2 linked regions of the Mus musculus genome follow. The protein of the gene in region 1 interacts with the protein of each later gene in a biochemical or structural test. Links are inferred from orthologs where the notes say so. Each region holds a gene or a part of one and is shown on either strand. Other genes may lie near its edges.

Region 1 (3,017 bases):
GGCAGCGCAGCCCCCCCGAGCAGCAGCAAGCCCTAGCCACGCCGAGGGGGAAAGCACAGAGCCGTTGCACCAACTGCGCGCCTGCTCCAGACTCACCGCCCGCCCGCAGCCACAGCAACCGGAACCGGAACTCCAATGGGTCACCACCACGGAACGCGGTGGGGAGGGAAAGCAGGGAAGGGCCCAGACGCCGCACCCAGGAAGGCTGGGCCTCGCCACGCCACTCCTCCGAAGTGCGCCTGTCGCCGCCCAGCTAGCCCGGTAGCAGAGTGGAACGCACCACTCGACAGGGGCCGTGCGAGCTGCGGGTGGGCCTGGGGGCGGTCCGGACACGCCCCTTCCCGCCGCGAGCCAGTCGCCTTGCAGATACGTCCCTACCGCACAGCCTCGCAGCTCCCCAAATCTCTGCAAACTGGTGCCTGCGGGCTGGCGCTGGCTTGGAGCCCACTGGACCTAGCCCAGATGGGGTCCGTCACCACCTCCCACAGACAGCCCCCATCAATCAGACTTTCCAGAGGAGTTGAGAGGCCGAGGTAAAAGAAATACGAACTTTAATGAAGACTATTTCCCTTTGGTATAAGACATCCAAACCAAAAATTTGGCGACCATTCCTTGTCCAGAAAGCCTACACACAGAGTGAGCTTGCAAGGTTTCTGTGCTGGCTGCAGCTGCCCGAAAGCAGAAGGTAGGATCTAAAACTATCACATCATAGTCCCACAACACTGCTCAGCCAAATTTCTGCTCAGTTGTCTTGGCGAAAAAGAAAAAGGGGGGGGGGAGGAGTGGGGTACAATCCTGTCCTAGTTAAGGCCAGGGAGTAAAATCCCAACAGTTGTTTAAAAAAAAAAATAAAAGTTTGGAAAAGTCATCGAGGTGATGTATAAATGTAATTGATTATCATAATTCTGTGCTCAAAAGTCAGCAATGAAAAACAAAACCAGGAAAATAAATCTACAGCCCTAAAATGTATACATGTTTTTTAAAAAAGAGAGTGCAGTTCCAGACCTGCAAATGGTATTGGGGATTGTCTACTGCTTCAGTCTTATTGCCTCCACAAAACCCACACTGACTGTACACACCCTGGAGGCCCAAGTCAGACGCACACACCTATCCCAAAGGAGGGAGGCAGGATGGGGTTACAGTGAGGGCTATACTTTGGCTGTAGACTATAACACACATGCAAACATGGGAGGAGCAGGCTTGAGAAATGTATACAGACCCCTTGGAGGAAAGGCATTGAGGTCAGGAGGCACTGAGCAAGATGGGTCCAGTCCTGCCCCTCCCCGCTACCATCAGGAAGAAGGCTCTGGGGTAATCGCTCTTTTTGGTTTTTGGAGACAGGTTCTCTCTCCATAGCCCTGGCTGTCCTGGAACTCACTCTGTTGTAGATCGGATGGCCTCACAATTCCTCCTGTCTCTGCCTCCTGAGTGCTGTGATTAAAGGCGTGCGCCACCATATTCAGGCTTGGGGCAATCTCTTAAGGGCTGCACATCCGAAAGGCAGAGCAGATAGCGGCCACTCCTGTCCCTATTCTCCCTAGACACAGGAAGGGGTGCTGAATAGGACAGGGCTCCAGAAGCCAAGGTGGCAGTAACCCCTGTCCACACGTGAAGGGCCTGAGAACTCTGCATTAAGTATCTGCAGACCTATGATAGTCAAAGGCACAAAGTTTAAGGGGAAGCAGAGGGAGTGGGATATGTTATGCGGGATCTGGGGTACCCTGAAGACCCAGGAGTAAACCAGAGGTATAATTATTTCCCTTCCCCCAAAGGGCAGTTGCTCCACTGGGCCTATCATCACAGGGCATTTTCCATTATAAGAACCCACCCTTTGGGGGGGAAGGGCATCAGGTTGGCACAGGCAAGGCCCAGACAAGGGACCACTCTGCACATTAATACTTTGGTGAAGTTTGGCCAGAGGCAGGATGCTACCCCAGGCTCCTTACTGAAACCCTCTTTTTCTCTCTCTCAAGTGGGCACTAAACCCATGTCCTCGTTGCTCCCAGTTCCCACCCAAGGCCAGACCCACAAAACAGAGGTCCCACAAGTTAGAGAATACGGGAGACGGAAATGGAGAGCATCCTGTTGGAGAAGCTGAGAAGGATCACACTTTCCGATCCACGGGTTGCTGTAGGCACAGTTCGCTGCCCGCAGAGATGATGGGCAAGTGATTGTCCATGTGGTAGCTGATCAGGTGACTGACACTCTCAAAGCGGTGATCCTTTGTCCGAACCTGGGAGGCAGGGAGAGAAGGTTGGGTCAAGAGAAGAGCTCAGGAAGACTGAGGAAGGCGGGCCAGCAGCCGTGATTATCCAGGCATCTTTACAGAAAAGACAGTCACATGGGTGGGAATGGGCAGTGAACTGGGCGAAGGGGAAGGAGACCAGAAATCACGGAAGCTGACAGTGAAAATTCTGACTTGAAGGAAGCTGGTGTCTCTCAAAAGTGACACAATGCAAAACCAAGGTGGAAAAAATGCTGAGAAGAGAAAAGAAACTGAGCAGAGCGGTGGCGGCACAGCCTTTAATCCCAGCGCTGGGGAAGCAGGGCAGGCGGAGCGCTTCAGTTCGAGGTCAGCCTGGTCTACAGAGTGAGTTCCAGGGCTACACAGAGAAACCCCGTCTTGAACCTCACCACCACCCCTCCCCTAAAAAAAAAAAGAAGAAAAAGAAAAGAAACCAAGGTTGTATGGAATAGTAAGGCAGGTTAGATTTGTTGAAAACAAAACAAAACAAAACAAAACCCTGAGTTTGAAGCTAAGGAGCTAGGGAGGCTCCTGACTCCTCTTGCAAGAGAAAATTTGGGGTCTCCACCCCCTAACCACTGACACTGGGCACCACTGCCTTTCCAGTGTCATTTCCTCACTTAGCAAAAGATCAAGTAAGCACTCTCTGGGGGCTGGCAGGCTTCACTGGGATGTGAGGACTGGTCAGAACTGAGAAGAACACAGCTCAGACTCGAGGACAGCAGGGAAGGAACCCTGAGCCACTGCAGGTGGATGCAAGTGTCCAGCAAGG
Region 2 (4,316 bases), on another chromosome or scaffold:
CAGACCCCCCTGAATTCAATCACTCTTCCCTGATTCAGAAGCTAACAGGTTTGGCATGATTGGGACTTTTGTGGGAGAACATTGCTGTGGTCATATAATGATACATATAAGTAAACATAATCATATTATTATTAATATCTTTATAAATAATCAGCTGTATTTGGTTTTTGTGCTTGTGTTTTCTATTTTTGAGACACGGTCCTGGCTAGCCTGGAATCTGCTATGGAGACCAGTTTGTCCACGGAGCCTCCCATTTCTGCCTCTGGAGTGCTGGGTGGTATTGGGCATATAATACCACCATATCTGTCCCTTATTAGTTGTCATTTTCCTTCCCTGCAAGGCTTTTCTCCTTACCTTGTGGCTGGTGCCTAGTACAGAACTCAGTATGTCTGGCAGGCCATAAGTAATGAAAGAATGCACCGGACTGCATGATCAGCAAATATATTGTACTTTAGTTTCCTCAAGAATCCTAAAACCGTCTTTCCTAAATAGTGCCTTACCTCTATCTCCTCACCCCTCATCGCCTCACCACAATCGTCTCTTTAGAACTAATTCTGAAGATGTCACTGCCACTCTCAAATTTCTGGAATCAAGTTGCCATCTTTACCAAGAAATCCAAGCAAACTGTGACAGATGGAGAGACATCTTTGGGGAACCTCTGACAATTTGTCAAATCACATCTTTCAATGAAATTACTTGGCTGTATTAAATTATACCAGAAGGTGAGCCCGAAACTCGCTGGTGAGCTCCGTGAAAATAAATATTGCCTGGTTTCACACAAGCAAGCGAGTAGTCCGATGATTCTTGGTGTAGACGCCCCTCCACCAGAAACAGGTTTCATCAAAACAGGTAGTAAACTCTAATTAAGTGGGTACACGTTTTGCTTTTGGGAAACACATTTCACCCTAAAAATACTTGTTTCAAATGCCGGTACAAAGTGTCATTTCTTTACTGACAGGGTACATCGCAAAATTAGCCAATCTGAAGGAAGACTTAGGACCCTAGATTCCCGATGAGGATATAGTTCCACTCAAGTATTATAGGCTCCTTCAAGATACAGTTTTCCTAACCGTGAACACAGTCATCTCACAATCAGCATCTTGAATCAATTACGCAAATACCAGTTAAGCCGTTCTGGTGCCCGGGAAAAGAAACGCCAGCATCAAGAAATCCCTGTTGGCTTCAGCTGTCCCCTCCTGCGGGGCTTGACAGCGCTTCTAAGGCGCCCAAACACCAGCCACCAGGCTCCCCCCAGCGCCCTCCTGCCGAATCAAACCGCCAGGGTTCTCAGGCCAAAATCCAGTGTCCTCAAAGCAAAACCATGAAAATGCTAAGCAGACGGCAGGGTTCATAAGAACTTTTTTCCCCTTTCCCTTGAGCGAATATTTTGAGAAGTTTGCCTATATTATCCACTTCTTGCGTCCACAGTTCACTTCCCTCCACCTCCTGGAGGCGCAAAGGAGAGCGGGCGCGGACCCAATCGAGAACCCATGAGTACTTACTACCTCCGCGGTTTCTCGGGGAGGGGAGATTTAACAGCTCCATGAGAATCTGATACAGATAATAAAAGAAGGCTCTTTCTCCCTGTTTCACTCCACCCTTGCTAAATGGAAATAACAACAACCAAAGTATGCAGCCAGTTTTGAGCTGGAAAACTGGGCTTCTCTAACAGGCAACGAGGCCTACAAGGGAGGCAGTCTGCAATATGGAGGGAGAAAGTTTGGCCGCCGAGTGGACGTCAGGGTGGGAGTGGACCGCACCCGGTCCGGAGCCCGCCGGCCGAGAGACGGATCGAGGAAAAGGAGGGCGGGATTCGTGGAAGAGCCAACCGGGCGCGCAGGCTGCTGCAGCGGGGCAGACGGTGACCTGACCTGTACTTACATAACGCTTCAACTTCTTCTCCGGGGGCGACTTGCGGAGCCATCCCGAGCAAACCACTTCGCCGCCGCTCATGGTGCACGCCGTGAGGACTCGAGGACCAGACACCAAAGGGGTCGGTGGACACAGTGGACGCGCTCCGTGCACGGCGGGCACGGCAGTCAAACGCAGCCCAGAGGACGTCTCAGATTCCCCCGACGGGGCGGCCCGGCTCCCCGCGCCCTGTGTCGGCGATCGAACCTCTCCCGCAGATTCGCGGACTGAAGAGGAACTCGATCGGGAACCGCGGGGACCAGGGCTCGCCGACCTTCTTTCAGTGCGCCCTCCTGGCCGCCAGGCGCGCCGTCCCGCCGCCTAGGCAGCGGTCGGGCTCCGCTGGGACTCTGTCCGGACAGGGAGCCCAGAACTGGAAGCCCTGCGCTCCGCCCCTTGGAAACGGGACCTCCCGCGGGTGCTCCCCGCTGCGGACCCCACGCTGCACGCGCACACACAATGCCCGCGCGCGGTGTCCGCTCCGCTCCGCTCCGCCCGTTGGCGCATTCACACTGAGAGGGGCTCGATCTTCTCTTTCCCTCTGCTCGGAAAAGGGCGCCTGGGAAGGCGTGCGGCGTCCGGGTGGCAGCCGGCACAGGGGCAGGTCCTGATCAGCCTAGGGAGTTCGCGGACCAGCAGCGAGGGTCAGGGCGTCGCCGGGCGTCGGGGAGGTCGCGGGTCCGCGGTGGGAGGGTGGGTCTGCGCTCCAGCCTCGGATGAGGGCGGGGATCAGCACAGGGACGAGGCGCAGGGCGGCTCTGCTTCGGGGAGGGACCCCTCTGTCCTGTCCCCTGCGCTCCTCCCCCACCCCGGGGGCGCGCGGCGGGTTCGGGGAGGCGCGGCCTGGGCCCCGGCCCTCCTCCTCCTAGCCTTTCTGCCTCCCCTTCCCACGATCGGTCGCCTCTAGCTTCAGCCCAGACTTTCTCTGAAACTCCTCCGGAGCGCTTCCAGCCAAAACAACAAGGGCTGGGGAGGCGGGGCCGGCGCTGGGAGGGAGCGAGATGGCAGAGGCACCCTGGGATCTGTAGTCAGCAGGCGCGCTGGGGTCCTCGCCGCCCCGCCGCCCCGGGCCCGCGCGCTATGGAAGGCGGCGGTCTCCGGGAACGCAGCGCCACCCCAGTGTGAGAGCGGGAGTGCCGGGCACTCTCGCCAGCTCCGACTGAGTTTGCCATCTTGACAACCCCCAGGGTCAGGAGTTTGTACTCGGCTGTGCCTTCGCGATCCAGAGTTTTCGGAAGGATTTCCCTACTTGACAGTCTGAAAAAATAACCCAGCCAGGAGGAGAACTCACTCAAGCGGGTCCTGGCTGCTCGAGAGACTGAAGGACTGCGTCTCCCGGACCAGGAGCGCGCTAGGACCCTCACTGTGCACCCAGAGACCAAGGGGGTGGGGGACCTCCTGGGTGCCTAGGGCCTGACCCAGGAGCTGTTCTACCGAGTGATGCTACCGCTTAGCCTCCACAAAGCGTTCAGCTGCGTGTATCTCTAAGACAGGATAAAGTCTCACACTGCTTCCACTCATGGGCTGTTTCTTCCAGTTGGCGTTGTGTTTGTTTAAAACCTGCGCTAGGATGTTGGACAGGAAAAGAAATCATTCTGGGTACCCTAATTCTATTTGCCTTTTTGTGTGTTTTACAGTTATTATATCTGGGCTGAGTTTGACACAGTCTTGTAACAGACTCTTCTTTACGGGTGTGTTTGAAACAAAGCCTTGGAACAAATTTTAGAAGGCAATATAATCAGACAAAAATTTTAAAGAGTTGGGCATGGTGATGCATGTCTTTAATTCCAGCGCTTGGGAGGCCGAGGCAGGCAGATTTCTGTGAGTTTAAGGCCAGTTTTGTCCACAAAGTGAGTTCTAAGGCGACCAGGACTACATAAAGAGGCCCTGTCTCAAAAAGGGAGTTTGTGTGAAAATACAAATAGATAAACAAGCATTTCTGAGAAGCATGAGTTTGGGGCTCTCCTAATAAATGTGTGTTCTGAGTCTGAAACCTTGGGGGTCGTAAAGAGGAAAAGGTGCTGGGAGCCCTGCCTGGCAGAACCCCTGTAATCCCAGGCCTGCCAAGGTAGGTAGGGGAGGGGGAGGGAAAGAAAGACTAGAGAGAGACATGGAGGCAGGAGTGAAGAAATTAAAGAAAGAAAAGAAAAGTAGATGCTAAGTTAATAATAAGACAAAAGCCCTTGCATATAAGAAGAGACAGTGCCCTTTGTTTTTGCCATAAAGTGCTTTTGAAATGGAAAAGTGTAATCTATCTTGTATTATTTAACTTTTGGAATTTCAAATAGAGCTTTTTTCCCAAATAAGTTTCACTTATTCCATTTCTATATACAAAAATCTACACCTGCAGTTAGAAACTTACACCTGCAACCCCAGCACTTGGGAAACTGAGGCAGGAGGATTAT

What was found.
Region 2: the proteins of Shc1 (region 1) and Gab1 form a complex in vitro, tested with the Homo sapiens proteins (2 studies listed by BioGRID and IntAct, with this or other methods). The link is inferred for Mus musculus from reciprocal best matches to the Homo sapiens genes SHC1 and GAB1.

The regions. Positions count from the first base shown.
Region 1 is NC_000069.6:89,427,533-89,430,549, reverse strand, and holds the end of Shc1 (SHC-transforming protein 1), read right to left. Parts: intron 2,234-3,017; coding exon 2,105-2,233; 3' UTR 521-2,104; downstream 1-520. UniProt on the Homo sapiens protein: Signaling adapter that couples activated growth factor receptors to signaling pathways. Participates in a signaling cascade initiated by activated KIT and KITLG/SCF.
Region 2 is NC_000074.6:80,877,651-80,881,966, forward strand, and holds the start of Gab1 (GRB2-associated-binding protein 1), read right to left. Parts: upstream 2,830-4,316; 5' UTR 1,954-2,829; coding exon 1,882-1,953; intron 1-1,881. UniProt on the Homo sapiens protein: Adapter protein that plays a role in intracellular signaling cascades triggered by activated receptor-type kinases. Plays a role in FGFR1 signaling. Probably involved in signaling by the epidermal growth factor receptor (EGFR) and the insulin receptor (INSR).